Nothobranchius furzeri: one gene and its partner. The protein of the gene in region 1 interacts with the protein of each later gene in a pairwise test. Links are inferred from orthologs where the notes say so. Each region holds a gene or a part of one and is shown in the gene's direction. Other genes may lie near its edges.

Region 1 (11,243 bases):
ATATTTAAATCTTTAATTGTTATAATTGTGATGATTATGGCTTACAGCTTATGCAAACCCCAAATTCAAAATCTCATACAACTAGAAATTGTGAAAAGGTTAAATATTCTAGAGTCAAAGTGTCACATTCTAATCAGCTAATGAATCCAGAGTGCCTGCAAAGGGTCCCTGAGCCTTCAGATGGTCTCTCAGTCTGAGCTGGATTACTGAAATAAATGGACTTTTGCACGAGATTCTTGTTTTTACAATTGTACCTGTATCATTCTTAATTCAGCTCACTGTAATTTGGAAGAAGCAATGACAATATTACAAAAATAATGAAACCTTTCCTGTTTCTTGTATGTTTACAATGTATACTAAAAGTAAATATTACAGCTCAAAGCATAAAACAACGTGAGTTTAGTGTGATAACAAAAATCTAGTTAAATCTGGTTAATTTTTTTCTCTTTTCTGATACAGAAACAATATTTTTACCAACAAACAAGATTCGGGGAACATAATACCCATCAGGAGCCATGTTTTTGTCCGTAGTCTCTTCCTGTAGAGAAATATCACATGTTTATATTAGGGAATTAAAGAGCAAGTCACCCCCAAATCAACTTTTTTTTGCTGATAAACTATGTAGATGAGTGTCTGTTGTGCTGAAGACACGTGTAGTCAGTAATTTGGCACTTTAGTGCATCTTAGTTAAAATGTATATTCTGTCAGTGTTGCGCTGTCTTCAGGTAAAAATTCTGCCATCACAATTGGCAAAGAGGTACACTATGATGTTAGCTGGTACATTATGATGTCACAATGTTGTGAGCCTGTGTGTGTGTATTTGTTAGAGGCTCCGCCCTCTCGGTCTGCCAGGCAACAGCATTTGTTGCATTTCTCAAACAGGAAGTGGGAGTGGAGTAAGAATCTGGTAGGGGGTGACTTGCTCTTTAAGTAAAGATGATTTTTATTTTCTATAATCTTTGCATGCTTTGAATATTTGGAGGCCAGGTAATAAAGATGCTTATTTACCACCAGGTTGAGCATGATGAAGTCCTCTTTAGCCATTTTCTGGATGCCCTTATCAGCAACAAACACCTTCTTCAGTGCTGTTAAAATAGTTTAGACGTTATTGTGTTTGTGCACGCCACGAAAACATTACTGGTACTTTTTATTTGCCCCAGAAAATTCTGAAAATGTTGCACACATTGTTCTCTGCAGACGTGAGTGTAGCAGGGTGATCGTTTGCAGCTGGGGGATGCTGCTCAACCAATCACCTGTTGAGGGCGCCCTGTTTTAAGGGCAGGGGTTTGTTCCCTCGGGGATCGCCTCTCACTAACCTTGGCGTTATAACCCAACCCTTACCCTAACCATAACCCTGAAACAAACAGAAAAATTGTGCCACACATAATATTTTCTACATTTATATTTATGCTAAACACACATTTTTGGTGACTGGGTGGTTAGGGTAAGGGTGAGGGTTATTTTTTGTGATTGGGTCGTTTCCACTTGCAGCTGGGTGCAAAAGAAACAGATCTCGAGGGGGGAACACATATCGACGTAACACCTGTTCCGCTTGACATCACCTCCTAGACTAGACTAGTGAGACTCCACTCGGGTCCAGGAGGACCACCTCTCCGGTGTCTCCAGCAGCAAGAACTTTCCAGCTGTTTAACTCTTCAATGTGTGTGGCGCGCATCTGAGCGAGACTGATTGCTCGTTTAAAATAAATTATTTAACTTTATTTTTATTTATTTTAGACAGCCTTCAACTCCTGGCTGGTGAACTAGCAGATTGTCCATCTTTTTATAACACGTTTAGCCAACTGCCTGCTTTTGTTTTTGACAGTTTCTTTCTTTTATTGCAGGCTGTTTGCTCCCAGTGGGGTACCATCGGCCTTGGTGGTGGGGAGTTTTCCACATATGTGTGTGTGTGTGTGTGTGTGTGCAGGGACGAAATTTTGATTTCAGAAGTGGGGGGGACACAGCAGGCTTGTACGGATTTGGGGTGGGGGGTGTTATGTAAATACCCCTTGACACGTCACGTGCCCATCTCAATAATTTTTCCATCCTCATATATATATATATATCAAAGTTAAAAAATGTACAACTCTATTATTATTTTTATTTATTATCATTATTGAAGTGCAGTTTTGGCTGTTGACAATGGATAGGCCATTGTATTTATTGTTTTGGGTCTTTTTTGTTGTTTTTGGTGCAACATTTTCTAACAGGGAGTGAGGTTCTTTTTTTATTCAATTTTTGTTTGTTATTTTTATTCATTTAGAAGTTCTGGTTCTGGACATTTCAATGTTAAATGAAGGTTTATTTGTTGCATTTTAAAGGGTGTACTTGCATTATTATGATATATTAACATTATATTAGTGGTTATTTTGGTCTAGATAATGTTGACAATATCGTTTATCATCAACAATTTGTTGGACAAAATATCGTCCAGCAAAATGTGTTACTTTCCCAGGCCTAGTCAAAAGTATAAAAATTATTTATACATAAACGGTCCCTCCTGAGATCTGGCCGTTTGTTCATTTGCTGTGTTAGAGGACATGCTGAACTAATGTTTTACACATGATCATCACCCTAACATTTGAGTGTATAAAAACATATTAAATATGTTTTTTCCCTTAAAAGTGTTTAAACAGTTGTTGCATTTCAACACACAAAAAATAAAAGGAAAAAATAAGATAAATCTAATGAAAAGTGTACATCTTTGACATTAAGCTCTAAAAATCTGTTGACGATGATGATACTGTTCATTTTTCAGAGCTTTTTAATGTGAACATATACATTGCAATAGATAAGTTTACAATAAAGTTAAATGATAAAAGTTTTGAAGTTACACTTCTACTACTACTACTACTAGTAATAATAATTATGATGATAATAGTAATAATAAAAATAATAATAATTATAATAATACGAATAAATTGTGTCTGAGGAGTCAGTTATGTGGAGGAGATGAGTTTGTAAAAGTTAGTTTTGAGTATGTTTGTGAAGGAGGAGGTCAGTCTGAGCTTAATGCAGCGGTGTCACATGTTCCAACTTACGTTTAGACTTTGAAAGAAGTCTCTTATATCCACTTTTCGTTTTCTTGACATGCTGCCGCCTGGCTGTGCCTAACTACCAAAGACTCACAAATGAACACTTATTCAAATGTTATGTAGTGGAAGCTGAGCTGAGCTCTGATATTACACAGCGTCTAGTTGACGATGTGACTCAGTACCGGTGTTCCCTAGCGGCTCCAAACTAGCAAAACAACGTGAGCACGTTCTGACTGTTTCCAACTTGAGTGACAGCAGCAACAGCCAATAATACGTTAGCAAGTATCAGCAGAGCCAATAGATTAGCTTTTGGGCGGGTCTAATAGTAAACCGGTTTCCGTTTCGGTCCTAGTGCTCAACTAAATCCATTTAATGGAGCGTAACATTGTTTTTGGACGGAAAAAAGTGCAGGGGACCAAAACTGCCTTTTGAAAAAGTGGGGGGGACATGTCCCACCCGTCCCCCCCCCCAAATTACGTCCCAGTGTGTGTGTGTTCCTTCACCATGCACCTCCTGGATGCAGGCCACTGTGACGGGTGACTTTAGTTTGGTTTGGTGAAAGATTCAGCCTGTTCAGGTTAATTCAGTCTTTTCTTTTTCTTTTATATTTTAATAAAAGCACATCTCCTGCCTGATCTGTAGAGTGGACCTGTGTCTTTATTTCCTGGGGTGTTACTCCCCAGGTGGTGTTGCAACTACAGCAACCCCGGATGCCACATGAGCAAACAAAACCCAGTTGTTTAAAGCCTGCATCAAACCGAGACGGAGATCTTCCCTGCTAGAGGTCGTTCTCATCGGCGTGTTGTAGGTGCTCACTGAGCTCACCAACAGGAAACCAGCTGAGTGATTAATGTGTACAGCTCTACTCCAGAGCACACATTCAGGAACATCTCACTCCCACTGAGGCCAAACCCACCACCTGGACGGGACGGCTCGTTCGAGGTGCTCGGAGAAAGATGGTTAGAAGATCAAATCAAACAAGAAGCAATGTAAGAGCGGTACCTTGACTGTGTGGGCAGCTGTCTAGATGATGGATGACCATCAATGGTTTCTGACTGGGAGAGTGAAACCACAGGGAAACAGCTCAGCATACTGATGGTTGTCAATAACGACTAAAGTACTGAGAACATGAGGCACCATGCATGGATTTCAACGATTGACTGATATTGCATAAAGAGGAGCTATAGCACAAAAGAAATGAACTCTTACCTTTTTGTCATTTCTTCTAGGCCCTCTTCATAACTTTTGACCCATTTGATATTATTCCCCCATCCTGAACAGAAAATACATTTAAACATGTCCTGTTTGCTTTTATTGCGCCCTTCACAAGCTGAATTCAAACTCAGGTTGTGTGCTGGGACTAAATCGGTCAATCTGACTGATGAATGATCAGAAACATGGAGGCTGAATGAGAGCGACCCACCTTTTGACAGAGATGGAGCCTTCTCCTTCTTCTTCTGTTCTTCTGCAGCGGCACAAGCGCCGATCAGCAGAGCAAACACAGCCCAGTGAAGCATCTCCTCGTCCTCTGGAGAACCAGACAGCTGAATAAGGCGTGCACTTTTAAAGCACAAAGCATTTTTTGAACTCTTACACCCGCAGAGCTCACTGAAGGGCTTCAGCTCTGAGTCACCAAACAAGTCTGACAGGCCGGCGCGATGATGCCGCGAAGGAAGCTTGTTTTATGTTACTATTATTTTTATATTTTATTTTATTATGGATGACATCATCACAGCTGTTTACTGTAATCAAAATAGGAATGAGTCTTAATGTATTAATGCAGCTTCTTATTTAATCTCAATCCAATGAACTATTGTACCTTTTTTTCTTTTTGAAAGAAACAGCATGTAACTTTGCAAGCCCTTACGTAGCATTAAATGGTTTAAGCATTACATTTCTATTCTGAAGAGCAGCGAACAACTTTCCAGCTGAAACTGAATCTGAATTTTCTGATTTTTGGCTACTGAAGTCACTCGTAGTGGATGTCTTACCTGTCCAGCGTGAAGCAGCAAGCGTCTGTTTGAGCTGTTCTTCTCACCTTACCTTTTGTCAGACTTTTAACCGAACTTGCCAAACGGGTAAAACAAGCATCCTGCTTTAAATGAAACACAAAGAAAGGTCTATGACTTATATGAGACATATTTGCATGCATGGGAAGTTTGGGCACACCTTCATACGATTTCATAATTCATACTTTCATAAATAAAATTCTTTGAAACACTGACTCTAAATGTAGTATTAGTGCTTGTTTAATAAATCCAGTTAGAAAATGCTTCATTAATCCCAGATGGAAATTAAGTGTTGTTGTGAATAAGGAAACAATAATAAAAACAATAAAATTTAGGTATCTATCTATCTATCTATCTATCTATCTATCTATCTATCTATCTATCTATCTATCTATCTATCTATCTATCTATCTATCTATCTATCTATCTATCATCTGTCTGTCTGTCTGTCGGCCTAATCTTTATTTATTTTTGTTCTTGTGAAGCACGTCGTGGTTTTTATCTGGAGATGCGCTGTATACACGATCGTTTTCCTTATTTCGTTTCTTTCTACATAGCTAGCTACCGTTGCTATGGACACAGAACACCTAGCAACCGAAAGCCTATGGCGCATGCGCAGCTTTCGTTCGCGGTGCACTGTGGGATTGTTGGATATTGACATAGCAACGGAGCCCCAGAGCCGCCTAGCATTCGTGTTTTAGACCAGTTTTCGCCCCTTTTCTAGCAGCTAAATTGTTCAGTTGGGATTTCATCTGCCGCCATGAACGCAGCGGTGGTGAAGAGGACTCAGGACACGCTGGGGAAAGTCATAAAGAAGCCGCCGTTAACGGAAAAACTGCTAAACAAACCGCCGTTTCGTTACCTTCACGACATCATCAGTGAGGTGAGACCGACTAAGGACAACAGTTACGTTTAAAGACATTTTATAAAGTTAAAAACTGTATATGAAGCCCTTGCGTGTGCTTTATTATCTGTGTCCATGAAAGGGATAGCTCTAACCGGACAACCCTCACCAGGAGCGAGTTAGCTTAACCGCAGCTGTTCAAAAGCGGTATCACTGCATTTCTCCTCTTCAGCACCCAGAGCGAACACGCGTTAAAGACAAGCAGCTGCTAACGTTCATTATTATGACTGTACATGTTTAGGTTGTACTTGCTTCACACCTGCTGCCGAGCAGCTGACCACAGCTGTCTTGTTGGATGCATAAGTTCTGCCTTTTTGTATTTAATGTACAGCAACATTTGATCGACATCTAGATGTTAGATGTTTACAAACGTAGGATTCACCAGTGTAAGTCGTAGGTCTGGATAAATATTAAAATTTGTATTTTATTTGTAGTATCAGCTCCAAATAATGACAGTGTAAATGTCAAAAAGTATTATTATTTCAATGATTGTCCCTTCTTAAGACAAAACTTACTCTTGTCTAAGTAGAAATGGCAGAACGAGGGTAAAACACAAAGGCAACATATTTTGTACATCAAACATTTTCCTGTTATCTTCTGGCAACTGACGTTTTCTGAATAAGGAAAATTTAGAATATTTAAGATTTTAAATAACCAAAAACCGGTTTAAAATACTATTTATTTGAATAATGTATCTACACAAGAATTAGAATCATAATATATTGTAGAGTGCAGTCTGTCGTACTGTTTGTGTTTGGGGCATCATTAGATGCTCTTATTTTGATGAGCCACTCTGCTGTTTTCCTGATTTATTTTTGACTGACGAGCATTTCCTAACTGAATGAGTATTTGTGCAGAAAAAGTGTGTTTTCATTATTTACCTAAATTATTTAGGTTATTATTCTTCCCATAACTGAGCATCTGTGTGTGTGATGTGTGTAGAACAATATGACGTCAGCTTCTTGTGTTAAACCCTTTTTCTGCTCATGTTTGTGTAAAAAATAAAATCGTACATTTGTGTTTGTGTACATGCTTAAGAAAGCAGAACGGGTATTCACAAACAGGATATATTAGCAAAATGTATATAACTGCATGAACTAAATAATACATAATATATAATGTAATTTTAAAAATATTTTCTTTAAAAGCATGTTTTTTTTACAATTAAACTCATATTTTAACTCTTTTCTTTAACAGATTAGAGACTAAATCTATTTTCTAAACAGAACTGAGATCTTATTCTCTCACCACACTGGTTGGATGGTTTTATGTTTCACTCTAGCTTTATTTATAATTAATTGAGGTTAGCATTCCTATAGCAATATTCTTTTATCTGACTAAAGGAATTCAGTTGTTTAAGACATACTTGATTGAAAATTAAAACATTTTGCAGCCATAAGTCTGCTTTAAGCTTGCTTCCATAAAATCAAAAACATTTTGTGTTAACTTGTATTAGAATGATGTAGGTTTTGCAGAAGCACCTATAATATTTGTATAATAACAGTAAACCTTTATTTTCCTCTTGACTCTAAGGTAATCAGGAGCACTGGTTTTTTGAAAGGCCTCTATGGAGAAAATGAAATGAAGTCAGATAGTGTAAAGGTAAGCTTACTCTTGCTATATTTACTTGATTTTTGACCTTTTTTTCCCCTGAAAAGACTAATTTGTTCAGGATTACCCCCGTGTGTTTTCACTGGGCAGCCTGAGTCACCAGATACGCCGTCTGGCAACACTGTGAGCTAGAAGATCTGGCAGGCAGAGACTGAGTGTTTGTCGAGGTGTCAGAATGCTAGTCTGCTATTTGCAAGGCGATCCTTGATTAGGACTGAATGAAAGAGAGCTACACCGAGTCTTCTCTGCTTACAAACGTAGCTGCACGCTGCCCGTTTCTTACTAGTGAGAGAAATGAGTTGTTAGTGTTGTGTTTTACATTTCCTCCCTCGAACAACGAGGTAACAAGCGGTTAAACCCAGTCACTCTGGGGGTAAGATTCATATTTCAGTTTCATCACTTCAGCTGTCAGGAGTGCAGAGAAGTCAGTTTGACCAACAAGTCCTCCTGGTCTTTGGTTTATCAGTTTACTGACCTGCTTTTGCACAAAACAAATGATGTCATCATTTCTTTTTGGTATGGAACCAATTTTATTTAGATTTTGCCTTTAATCAGTTTATATTTTAAATGTTTTTGTCTCGGTAACGGCTTTTTTCATTATATCTCATTCTAGGAAAAGGACTCAAAAATAACCTTTCTTCAGAAAGCGATAGATGTCGTGATGCTGGTGACCGGCGAGCCTCTGGCGGCCAAGCCCGCACGGATCGTTGCCGGCCATGAGCCGGAGAAAACCAACGAGCTGCTTCAGGCCATCGGCAAGTGCTGCCTCAATAAGGTCTGCATCACACACACACGCGCGCGCACACACACACGCACGCACACACACACACACACACACACACATGCACTCACACTCACACACACACACACACACACACACACACACACACACACACACACACGCGCGCGCACGCACACACACACACACACACACACACTCACACTCACACTCACACTCACACTCACACACACACACATGCACTCACACTCACACACACACACACACACACACATGCACTCACACTCACACACACGCACACACACACACTCACACTCACACACGTGCATATGCATGTGTACGCACTCACACAAAGACACAAAAAGTGTTTTTTATATTGTTTTTATGGGAATTCATTAAAATAAAACTCCATTTTTGTTTTTAACAAACATTTTTTCCACTCCTGGGAAATGTTTTCTTCTGCCTCAGGAGAACTCTGACACACCCTGGAGGTGGAGGTAATGAGCCACTTTCCTAGGGACCGTTGTAAACAGTTCCTGGTGCTTTAAATACATTCTCACTGCAGCGTATGCAGCGAGAATCAGAATATTTGTGTAGAGCACTGAAGGTTGTAGCATCATTTTCTTTTTTTAGGCCATAAGTGTGAAAAAGGCAAAAACACACAAGCTAAAACAAGTGCGTGTACAGATGACGTAAGAGGGGATGAATAAGAATACATTTAAAATGTGTGTTATTTGTGAAATGTTGCCTTTCAACTTAAAAACACGATGAGGTTTTTTCCATCCTCCGCTTTGAGGATCTTTACTGTTTGGTCTGCAGTTGTCCAGTGATGAAGCAGTGAAGCGAGTGCTGGCAGGAGACAAGGTGGACTTAAAAACCAGAGCCAGCACGTCCAAGTCTCAGAGTAACGACAGGGAGGGACGCAAACACACACAGAATGATGAGGTGAGTAAAAAGACTTTTCTATACTTTTCCAATAAAAAGTTATGTTTCACATATCTATCCTCATGATCGGGTCCCCGTCCTTACTTTGGTTTATATAATATCAGGAAAAGAAAAAGGCAACCGAGCGCAGCAGCAGCGAGGACCAGAAGGACGCCGAGCGGCCCCAAAAGCCAGAGAGTCAACGCAGAGATGAGAATAAAGAGCACCAACGGGACCGTAGGCGCTCCGACAGGAATCACCGCGGTGAGCAGCAGCATCCCGCCAAAGGCCACGACAAGAGCAGGGACCGGGAGCAGGACAAAGGACACGCCCGGGACAGGCACAAGGAGAAAGACCGCGACAGGGATCGAGGCAGAGACGATCAGACAATCAGAGAGAGAGAATCTCACAGAGACAAACACAGAGAGCGGCAGAAAGACCAGGAAGAGAGAAACCCAAGTGACGAGAGTAGAAACGACAAAGTATGATGCTTCACTCCACTTCTGTCCTAAATCTGAGCACTGATCACTCACACAAAGTTTGTTTGTTTGTTTGTTTGTTTGTTTGTGTTCAGACCAGAGAGGCAGACAAACTGCTGCAGAAACTCGGTCCTGAAGAGCAGAGCAACAAATCAGCCACCACAGAGCCAGTGGTGAGTCTGCGTTGGGTTTTACGTCTGCTTCTGTACGCACCTGTTAGTAAAAGGCCTTCGGGGGGATTCAGAGCGTTTCTGTGGTGTTAGATGTGTCCGAGTTTTTACTGTGATTCCTGAAAGCCACACATCTGTGTTTTTTTGTCTGTTTAGCCCTCAGAGGTAGAAGAGAATCAGGTGAGAATGTAACCAGCGGTGTGTAATCCTAACCCTAATCTGGCGATGAGATAAATATCACAATACAGACGATACGTCGTGACACTAAAACCCCGATTAGACTGAAATTCATTGGAAAACTCAGATCAGACTCTTCCAGTATTATAACAGTATGATTGTGAGATCTCGTTGTTCCGTCAGAGTGGAGGCGGTGGAAGCTGCTGCCACCTTGCAGTCGGAGTTTGAATTGCACCGCACAAAAATACAGGTCCTTCAAAAAAAATCTGCATATTGTGATAAAGTTCATTATTGTCTGTAATGTACTGATAAACATTAGACTTTCATATATATTAGATTCATTACACACAACTGAAGTAGTTCAAGCCTTTTACTGTTTCTAATATTGATGATTTTGGCGTACAGCTCATGAAAACCCAAAATTCCTGTCTCTAAAAATTAGCATATCATGAAAAGGTTTTCTAAACGAGCTATTAACCTAATCATCTGAATCCACTAATTAACTCTAAACACCTGCAAAAGATTCCTGAGGCTTTTAAAAACTCCCAGCCTGGTTCCTTACTCAAAACCACAATCATGGGTAAGACTGCCGACCTGACTGCTGTCCACAAGGCCATCATTGACACCCTCAAGCAAGAGGGTAAGACACAGAAAGACATTTCTGAGTGAATAGGCTGTTCCCAGAGTGCTGCATCAAGGCACCTCAGTGGGAAGTCTGTGGGAAGGAACAAGTGTGGCAGAAAGCGCTGCACAACGAGAAGAGGTGACCGGACCCTGAGGAAGATTGTGGAGAAGGACCGATTCCAGACCTTGGGGGACCTGCGGAGGCAGTGGACTGAGTCTGGAGTAGAAACATCCAGAGCCACCGTGTACAGGCGTGTGCAGGAAATGGGCTACAGGTGCCGCATTCCCCAGGTCAAGCCACCTTTGAACCAGAAACCGTGGCAGAAGCGCCTGACCTGGGCTACAGAGAAGCAGCGCTGGACTGTTGCTCAGTGGTCCAAAGTACTTTTTACAGATGAAAGCAAATTTTGATGTCATTCAGAAATCAAGGTGCCAGAGTCTGGAGGAAGACTGGGCAGAGGGAAATGCCAACATGCCTGAAGTCCAGTGTCAAGTACCCACAGTCAGTGATGGTCTGGGGTGCCATGTCAGCTGCTGGTGTTGGTCCACTGTGTTTTATCAAGGGCAGGGTC
Region 2 (9,793 bases), on another chromosome or scaffold:
TATTGTTAGGATTGACTGTGTTTTTGCTTTTATATTGTGTTTTAATTTGTAGCCGTACTGCAGATTGGTCAGCTGCCATGCTGTTTTTAAATGTGCTTCAGAAATAAACTGGTGTCATCAGTGTCTCTATGTTAATCTTATTTTTCCAACGAGGAAATAAAGACAAATTAAAGTTTATTTTTTATTGTTTGCTAATCAATTTGACCCCCCCCCCGCCAAAATGCAATTTCACATGAATTATGGCAATTTTTCTGAATTTTAATAAATATTATAAAACCGTAAATCACTGAAATTTAAATGACAACAATCAGCAGTATAGCTTTAAGGCAACATGCACACAAAAGGGCTCAACAGAACAAAGTGTAAAGTAGAATTTATGGTCAGTATGAAACGCATTATGAGGGTTTATTTTGAAAGTATGTAGCTGTAACCCAACCATCCAGCTGGCACAACAGTCAGTAGGCTGAATGTCAAGCTGCTATTTCTAAATTACTTCTGTTTTTAGTCCCAATTTAAACCCTTTCAGTTGCTGCCATCTAACAAGCAAAGGGAAAGTGTTTAAAGAAGCTTCACATAGGAAGAAAACATCATTTTAAGGACTATTTTGTCACTTTATGATATATAAAAAACAACATGTTTTTTTTTTACTTTTTCTTGGTCAGTGTTTTTTTAAGAGTTTTTAATGTTTTCTTTCTTTTTACTTTGGTTTTGGTTCCATTTTCAGATTTGTATTTGTTCACTTGATCCATTAAATCAACGGTGTCCAAACTTTTTAAGACAAAGGCCAAAATTGTCTATTTAATTATTGCAGGCCTCGAGAATATGATTGTTCTAAGTTAAAGGTGCATGAAGTAAATATGACATCCTGTTGGGTACTGCAGTCTATTTATGAAAACAAACGAGACCTCTCTCTAACCCTTTTCTAAATATCCATCAAAAGCGACAAAGACCACGAGCCTGTGATTGGTTAGTATGCTGCTTCCTTTAACGGCATCAGCAGCATCATCTTCCCCCCTCAAATAAACAAAGCGAGAGCTGAACATATCTAGTGACAGACATGGAGCAGACACTTTAATACACTCTTGACTGAAGGAGTTCAAAGACATGCAGCAAACTTATTATTCTTGTCAGGAAACGACAGGAATCGTGAGTTTAGAGGCGGTGACTGCAAGGAGAGGGGGGGGCGGGGAGAAATTTTTTCTTGAGAAAGAAGTCTGTTTCAATGTAACCTTCCTTCCAACATGACTGAGACATTAGACTGCTTTGTGATTATTTCACAGTAAAGTTCTTACTTCCTTTACCCTTAAAAAATGCTTAAAGAGCAAGACACCCCCAAATCTACCTTTTTTTCTGATAAACTATAGAAATGTGTGTTTAATCGCGCTGCAGACACATGTAAGTCATTAGTTTTGCACTTTAGTGCATTTTAGTTAAAACTTTAATTTTCTGCCTGAAACTGTCAGTGTTGTGCGTTGTCAGGTAAAAACTCTGCACTGCATTTGAATTTAAATCTGCCATCGCTATTGGCTAAGAGGTACCCTAGAGTGTTAGCTGGTACCATATGATGTCACAATGTCGTTGTGAGCCTGTGTGTGTGTTTGTTAGTGGCTCCGCCCTCTCGTTCTGCTATAGGCAACAGCATTTGTTGCATTTTTCAAACAGGAAGTGGGAGTGGAGTAATACTCTGGTAGGGGGTGACTTGCTCTTTAAATACATTTTTGGTGATTTTTTAAAATCCTGACAGTAGATCTATTGTATAATAAGTATATTAGTAAAAATCTAAACATAAAAGCATAAAAGTATAACTCCAGTTTCACAACCTGCTGTAGAGAATAAATTCATCGTTCTAAAAAAGCACTAAGTTAATCTGAGGGCCATAAATGGCCCCCAGGCCACTCTTTGGACATGCATGTCTTAAATATTCCGACATAAACAGACTCTTGTAATTTAAAGGAGGAACCAGTGATAAGGGAACACATGACAGATCTTAGCAAGATTAAACATGTCATGTCTCTTTTCATCCATTATTAATCAGCACCACCAAGAAACATTGTCTTTGTCTTATGAAGGATTCTTTCACCACGTTTCCAGTTGACACGTCTTGATGCCGATGTGAAAGCCTGAAAAGTATTGAGATGACTGGTGTAGCATTAGAATAGAATAGAATAGAATAGAATAGAATTTATTAATCCCACAAAAGGGAAATTCATTTCTGCAGGGAAAAACTGCATATTGTGTCATGTTTCTTCCACTGGAAAAGCCTGAAAATGTCTCCCAAAGAGTAAAAAAAAACATCATCAGGAACTGATAGCTTGCTAAAACATGGCATACATACATAACATTTGTACTACTACTACTAATAATACATTTTATTTAAAAGCGCCTTTCTGGTCACTCAAGGACACTGTACAGAATAAAAACACACCAAAAAAAATTAAAAATAAAGCACACATTTGCACTAATAAGTGGCCTATTTAGAATGTGATGAAGGTTCTGGCATCCTCAAAGTCTCACATCGCCTCTAGATTCAATAAACCCCCACCAGTTACTCCATGTTTGTTTCTGGGAATAGAGCAAAGTATTTTATGTCAACTTGGTAAGATAAAAAAAAAAACACTGCAAACAGTCTACTGACTAACACACAGTAATTATCTTCAGCCCTCAGCCCTCTGAGAATCATCCATATAAAATGTAAAAAAATCCCCAGCTCCCTTGGGTGTGTAATATCGCCCTGCCAAGAACTGATGTTCAAGTCCAGGCAGCATCATAATTTACATTTTCACACACCCCGTGGCCGCATAGACACACACAAAAAAGTGAGTTATCATATACAAGTGGGGAAAAAAAACTCTTAAAGGGCTTGAAGAGTTATAAATAGGTAGCTGTAAAAGAGATGAATCAGCTAATGGGAAGGGGTGAAGCAAATTATGACTCAACTTTAGTAAGAGCAGCATGTACCAGGCATGTCCGCCGGCCCTTAGAAATCACTTTTACTTTGTGCTTTGCTTGAGTGCAAAAGGTTATCCATTTAATCCCGCAGGAGCGGTCCTGTCTCGCATCGGGTTTAATGGAAAATCTCAATTTGTTCTGAAATTAACTCAAACTGAAAAGAAATATTATAGTTAAACATAAGGAGGATCGTGTGGCTTCAGTGTATGCTCGAGTTTTAAAACACATTAAATGCTGAAGGGCAGTCCTGTGATAATTTTTTATGAAGTGAGCGATCACAACGTGTGTGTGTTTTGTGTTTTAGTTAACATTTTTAATGCCGATTTCTAGCATAAAAAAGAACACAAAATAGGACCCATTACTTCGTTATTTTTTACACAAGTTAGTAAAAAAAAGTTTTTTACCTATGGGAATAAAAATTAAATTTATTTAAACTAAGCCTTGTTAAAAAACACAAAGTAATGGATATTGAAGTTACACACAGAACGAATTCACAAGAGTATACAAATATATGACATATTTAAATAAAACAAATACTAAATTTAGCAAAAAAAATAGTCCTCCTATGTCCCCTAAGCACTGCCTTCAATCTTTCAATTAAATTGAAACGTATGAACGTTTTTTTATTTGTGTCTGTCACATAAAAAGGTTTCAAAGATAAAAGTCTAGCCTAAATGCATTTTACCCTAAAGGCTTCAACTCCCAGAATTCCGTTCGGCTTTACGTAATCAAATTCTGACCAATCACACACGCAGGAGGCCATGACCCGCGGAAATACGGAAAACCAGAATTTTGTGTTGTGAACGCGCTACAAAGTCATTTTTTACGAGTGTAAGTCTGTTTTACCGATGGATGTCACTCCCAAAGGAGACAAATTAAAGACTGAACGGTGTTTATCGTACAGTTCAGCCGAGTCAAGCCCATCGGAGGAGTTTAGAAAGGAAAAGGTGAGTATTGTTAGCTAAAGTGGTGCGTAAACTATTAGCTAACATCATAATCTAAAACACGTTTCAGGCTTGATTCATGTCGGGTTTCTCTGATAGCATCCGAAGCCGAGTTCCTCTCTGAGGGAGAGGCTGAAGAGAACCAGGCGCTCCTTCACATCGCCCCTCTCGGTGGCCAAACGCCTCTGCGTGGACAGCGGAGAGCAGGGTGGCCATCAAGCTTCAGTGGAAACGGGCAGCGATCCTCCGGTCTCGGTACACAACAGGGATAACGCAGGAAGCGAAAGGCTATCCGGACCCACACTTGTCTCCTCTGGAGACGTTGCACAACAACTCAGAAAGGAGGTGAAAGAAAAAACAGAGACTCTGCGCCGACTCAAGATGGTCCAAATGTACAGAAGCAAGGTATCAGCTACTTCTAACCCCATCCTCTTTATTTGTGATCACCAAGGCTGAGAATTAATACGAGTCATTGTTTTTTTAGAACGATTTAACACAGCTGCAAACCTTGATCGACAAGTGGCGGAGCGGTGCTCAGGCTGCTCTGTGTGAGCTGCAGTCAGAGGTCCCTGTGGATGGACGCAAGGCAAGCCTGTCAGAGCTCATGGACCTGTTCAGGCTGGAGGACAGCATTCTGCACTTTGATCGCACTGAAGAGGACTTCACTACATAATTAACCACAAACACACTGAAGAGAAGTCAGCACAACTGCAAGTTTTATTTGGTGTTTCTATAATTCCCGTTCACAATAAAAGTACATTTCATGTTCTAAGTTTTGAAGAAAAGTTTTTAATCAGTAGTGTTTCGGCAGATCAAAACACGGGAAATTCCTCCTCCTCAGATGTTCAACTTCTTCCCAGAGGAACTGCAGTTCCTCTGCCTGTTCCCTGGCAAGGCTCTCCAAGTTACTCCTTTGAACGGTTTCCTGGTAGCAGGCATTTCTCTCAGCATTTTCGTCTGCAGCTATAACTAAAGAGCCACATCATCATTAGAAGGCCGCTCCAGTGTGTGCACTCTGTATCTGAAATGATCGTTTTTCTTATTACCTGTTCCCTTGTCGTTCACAAGCTCTGCCAAAGTCGCCTGCAAGTCAGGAATCTGCTGCTCTAAGCTGAGGCTGTTCTTTGCTTTTTCCTCCGCTTTTTTCTTAAGTAGTGCAATCTTTTTAAACATCTGCTGAGCACTCTGCTGAAGAGTCTGAAATTGAGAATAAATGTGTATTATTTCACTGATGAATATTAAAAAGCACACAGAGCACAGTACAAAGTATTACTTCGCTGTTACCTTTTTTGCCAAAGTTTTCTCCAAACTGGCAATTTGCTCAGACATGCGATGCTCTCGCTCCTCTTTGCTGCAAAACTGGAAGGAATAGAAGTTGACTTGTAAAAAAAAAAAGGAGCACCTGCAAAGTTTTACAAGTTAATTTGTGTCTGCTCTAAATATTTTAATAAACCTACTCATCAAAACTTTCCTCTTGCATGGTTTCAGGGGTTTTAACAATGTCAGGAAGTTAAGAGCCGCACAACACAAACATTACCTGAACCCTTTGCCAGAGGAAACTGGCACCACCGCCTCAAAACACATCCGTGTTCTTTAGTTGGTTAATAAATTTTAACAGATGGCTCAGCTTGTGCTTTTTCATTTCTGAACCACCTAAATGTGCTCTGTTTATTTTTAAAACATCCATAAGACAGAGCATGTTTTCTGGCCAGGAGCTAAATATTATCCAGTCGGAAAAAAAGTTTTCCTTAAAAAGTTAAGCACAAAAATGCAATAAACAAAGCAAAGAGCAACGATTTCCACAGGAATCTTTCTATTGGGTAAGAGGTTTAAATGCTGGAGAGAAAGGGTGGGGAGGCTCTATGAAAAATGGGTGTGAGTCTTCTATAAAAGATGATCCATCTGTGCGGAGAGATGGTAACAATTTTGTGCACGAAAAAAACACCCGACGCTGCCAAAACCAAAATACCTGCCTTGAAATCACAGACAGGCGTTTGGCCAGACATGCTAACAGGATTAGCATTTCACCAAAACAGCAAGAAAACCCCTGCCAGGAGGAGAAAAAGCAAAAGGTACAGCAGGAGTTGTGAGTCCAGACAGTTGCATGTTTTTATGAAATTACATTCATCTCTTTTTGCTCCTTTGAGAGTCGAAACATCTTGATGTCCTTCTTGTTGTCTTTGAGGTCTTCTGCCGTCTTATTTAACACCCTGTGCTCCCACTCCAGCTGGACTATCTGTTCACGAATACTTTGGAGACGCTCCGTAGAGGCGATCTTCGCTGTTGCAAGATCCTGACAGTAAAAACTGTTTATTAGATATAGTCGATAGAAAATGAAAGCAATGAAATGGGATCAATGCGAACCGTGATTGTGTGTCTCTTGCTGTCTCTCACACTCCTGTGACAGAGGATGAAGTCGGTGCCTGTGCTGTCAGCTGTCCTGTTGAAGGGGGACACCACCTGTCCCTGTTTGAGTCTAACTAGGACCGCCCCGTTCAGCGGGTGTTTGTTCCTCTCTTTGTGCAAACTTCAACGAAGAAGCAACAAAAGAAATGAGCTTTCTTCAAACCCACGTGTTGTGCCAGTACCTGTCAGCTTTGGAGTTCTAATCCAGCTGCTGATTATCAGATTATGAATCAGTCAAACCTCTTGAGCGCTTCTGAAAGCTTCTCCAACTCCCCCTGAAAAGCTTTCTCCTTGTCTTTTCTCTTCACAATGACGGCCTGCATCTCAGCAAGAGTGGAGATTGTTGTTTTTATCTGCGAAACAACAGCGTAAACGTTTGCTTCATTATTTCAGTTAAACTGTCGGACAGAAGCAACGACCCAAACTCGTTCATTCTTGTTTTACCTTCAACTCGGTTTCTACTTTTTTTCTGCGCATTTGGCAAAACCTCCTCCAGACGGATGGTTTCAAACCCTTTGGCATGTTTCCTGGAGCATCCAGCTCCTCCATAGCCGTCTGCATTTGGACTGGAGAAGGAAGAGGCTCCCTGTTTTCAGTCTGGGCTCTCATCTGTTGAACCCTGAGGCAGGAAGCAGTCTGGATAAGCTGAGGTGTACCTAAGACGCGTTTGAAATAGAAGTTACGCCGACAGGATCCCGAACCTCGGTCTATGCTTGAAGAGCTTGTAAAGTACATCAACCAAATGATGAGACACGTCTTTAAACTCCTTCTTGAAGTCTTTTTCAAACGCCTGCAGAGACAGTGATGGCATTAAATCACATCCGTCACTTCAAGCTGTGACATTTTCAGTATTTTAACCAGCTTACCTGGTTGGTTTTTACCAAGTGCTCGGATTCCTCCCTGAGCCGTTCCACCTCACGTTGGTATCTGTTCACCTCCTCACAACATTCGTTCTGTCAGAGAAACGCAGGCGACGATGTAAAGATGAAGATAAAGATGTTTCTGCAGCAGACTGGAATTCACTAAAACACTGCAGCAATGTTTTCACAGTGGCCTACAACATTTCTCCGACCTTGTGTGCCAATGTTCTTTCATGTTGGAGCTTGAGCTCCTGCTCTTGGTTCCTCATCTGGTCTTCAGTGAACAGCGAGTCCATTAGGTAGTAAACCCTTAGCTCTTCCTGTAAAACACATCAAATAATCATGGAAGAGCTAAATTCAAAGGGAGAAGAACCCTTTTTTCTACTGCACACGAAGCGGCTCACCTGGTATATAGCTGCTGTAAACAGAAACTTCTTCTTGAACAGCTTCACCAGGGCTTCGTCAAACTTTCTGGCGGCATTTTGATTGGATTCCTGCAGTTGTTTTATTTCAGCTTCCAAAGACTGCAAAACATCAGCTAACAGCTCATTTATGCTGATCACCAAGAAGAAATAAATAATAATATTAGTCATGAGTGCATCTTCTGTAACACCTGTCTGTATTTCTCCTTCTGCTGGTTGGTTTCTCTGATCTTCTCTTCATGCTCTTTGTAGCGTTGTTTCTCCTCCTCGGTCCAGTCAGCGTCAGGTTTAGTCAGAACAAACTCAGGCTGACAGATTTCCTGTGGAAGAAAATCTAAATAAACTATATAGTCGTTGTTGATTTGTCCAATTTAAATGACACAGCCTAAAAACAGTTGATTTAATGCCATTAGCTTAAAGAAAACTCCTATAAAAATCATATTATTGGTTATTGATTACTGCTACAGCGTGATTTAGAATAAAGCATTTGATAAACACTAAACACAGGTTCTTCCATTGATTTTCTTATTTAATATGTGGTCTATTTCACAATAAATGATAGTTATACATTGAAAATGTAATTTAAATATTTACAATAAAACGTTTATCAAGAAGAGATTTTATATTCTGAATCAATAGATTTTAACTGGGCTTGCTGTTAAATATTTTCAAAATTCAATGATCAAACTAGTAAAAGCATATTATCACAACAGCGGCAACTGATTCATCTATTGTAATATTTATATATGTCAACATAAAAACTGAATGTTATAATATTTTACCACTTTAAAAATGTCCTTTTTCTGCTTTTCGATAACTCCGTCCATCATTTCACGAAGAGCCCTTTCTTTGGTGTCACTCTGAAAGAGAGGCCTGCTTTTATTGCCGCTAATGAGGCTCAAACTGTCTGATAAATAACATCTTGTATAAAAACAAAAGTAGAAAAGATTTATGTGTTAAAGTATTTTAAACATGTTGACCAGAAATAAATACTTTAGCAGCGAGATGCTTTTCCTCCTCCAGCTTCCTCCTCCCCTTCTTTTCCAGACACTCCGGGGGGAGGTACTTCTCTGCTTTAATCTAAAACGGGTCAAAGGTGATGATGATAATCACAGATATAGCTCACATTCAGCATGAACACAAACAAACAAACAAACCACAAAGTAGCTCAACGTGTTTTGTTTGTTGAACTTTAGGTGAACTGTGTCCACATCCAGACCTCAGACTGGTCCACAGTGAGCAGCCTCTCTGGCCACTCGCTGTCGGTCTGCTCGGGCTCCCACAGCTCCTGGTCCAGGTCCAGGTCCAGCATCCATTCCCTCATCTGGTTATTCTCGCTCCTCACACGTTTGAGCTCCAGCTCTTTCTGGCTGTGCAGGGCTTCAAATTCGGAGTTGAAAGACATCTTGATGTGATAAATCAAATCCTGCATTTGGAGATGATGATGGCAGTAAGAGAGGGGCTGGTACCACTGAAGCTAAATTGGCTCTCCCATTTAAAAATTTGATTGTTATTATTATTAATATTATGACTGAGTAATATAAAAATGAAAAAAGTAGGTGTGTAAAGGCTTTATAAAGGGTTATTTTCAAAAGTAACAAAAAAGCCCTAAAACAATAATAAACACATTGTATAATTTAAAAAAAACATTTTTGAATTCCACTTTTGCATACATTTGAGGGCAAAATAAAAATCTTATGCTCTTCTTTTATCTTTTTTAAACTTTATTATCTTTTTTTTTGATAATTTATTAATATTTTACTGCTTGAAGCGCCTTGTAGTTTTAGCTTTAAAGTTCAATATCATGCTATTTTAAAACTTTGAGAGCAAAGGTAGGCACAATAAATGGTCAAATATCACCGTTGGCACTATTGAGATGTCATTTATCCTAAAAATGAGTTATTTTCGTCAGCCTGAATTTACAAATGAAATGGGTTGTTTCAGTGAAACTTTGCCCAGTCCTGCTCAGAAAAACCCACTCACAAGAGCATCATAGGCCAGCCTGCTGTTGGATTGGCATTGGTAGTTCAGGTAGTTTAAGCACCCGCCTTGGCACACTGAACTACCAAGTTTCTTACAAAACAAAAGTCGCCTAACATTCATATCCTGTGCTGGCCATCACATGTGTTTTTGTAGGCCGGATGCATGGTTTTATGGTGGTGTTTTGTCCCCCGATGCAGAAGTAATTTGTCAGAATATCCAGAATAACTGA

The links.
Region 2: the proteins of traf3ip1 (region 1) and sfr1 interact in a two-hybrid assay, tested with the Homo sapiens proteins (2 studies listed by BioGRID and IntAct). The link is inferred for Nothobranchius furzeri from reciprocal best matches to the Homo sapiens genes TRAF3IP1 and SFR1.

The regions. Positions count from the first base shown.
Region 1 is NC_091754.1:2,497,010-2,508,252, reverse strand, and holds the start of traf3ip1 (TRAF3-interacting protein 1), read left to right. Parts: upstream 1-5,704; 5' UTR 5,705-5,803; coding exon 5,804-5,926; intron 5,927-7,480; coding exon 7,481-7,549; intron 7,550-8,171; coding exon 8,172-8,333; intron 8,334-9,116; coding exon 9,117-9,242; intron 9,243-9,346; coding exon 9,347-9,703; intron 9,704-9,795; coding exon 9,796-9,873; intron 9,874-10,026; coding exon 10,027-10,050; intron 10,051-11,243. Other genes in the region: agr1 (anterior gradient 1), read right to left, coding at 475-538, 1,009-1,085, 4,037-4,089, 4,244-4,307, 4,458-4,594, 5,026-5,129, 5,609-5,704.
Region 2 is NC_091752.1:33,771,350-33,781,142, forward strand, and holds sfr1 (swi5-dependent recombination DNA repair protein 1 homolog), read left to right. Parts: upstream 1-3,671; 5' UTR 3,672-3,797; coding exon 3,798-3,896; intron 3,897-3,992; coding exon 3,993-4,298; intron 4,299-4,377; coding exon 4,378-4,566; 3' UTR 4,567-4,665; downstream 4,666-9,793. Other genes in the region: cfap43 (cilia- and flagella-associated protein 43), read right to left, coding at 4,687-4,862, 4,940-5,090, 5,178-5,252, 6,016-6,186, 6,258-6,420, 6,540-6,652, 6,744-6,918, 7,001-7,089 and 7 more. UniProt on the Homo sapiens protein: Component of the SWI5-SFR1 complex, a complex required for double-strand break repair via homologous recombination. Acts as a transcriptional modulator for ESR1.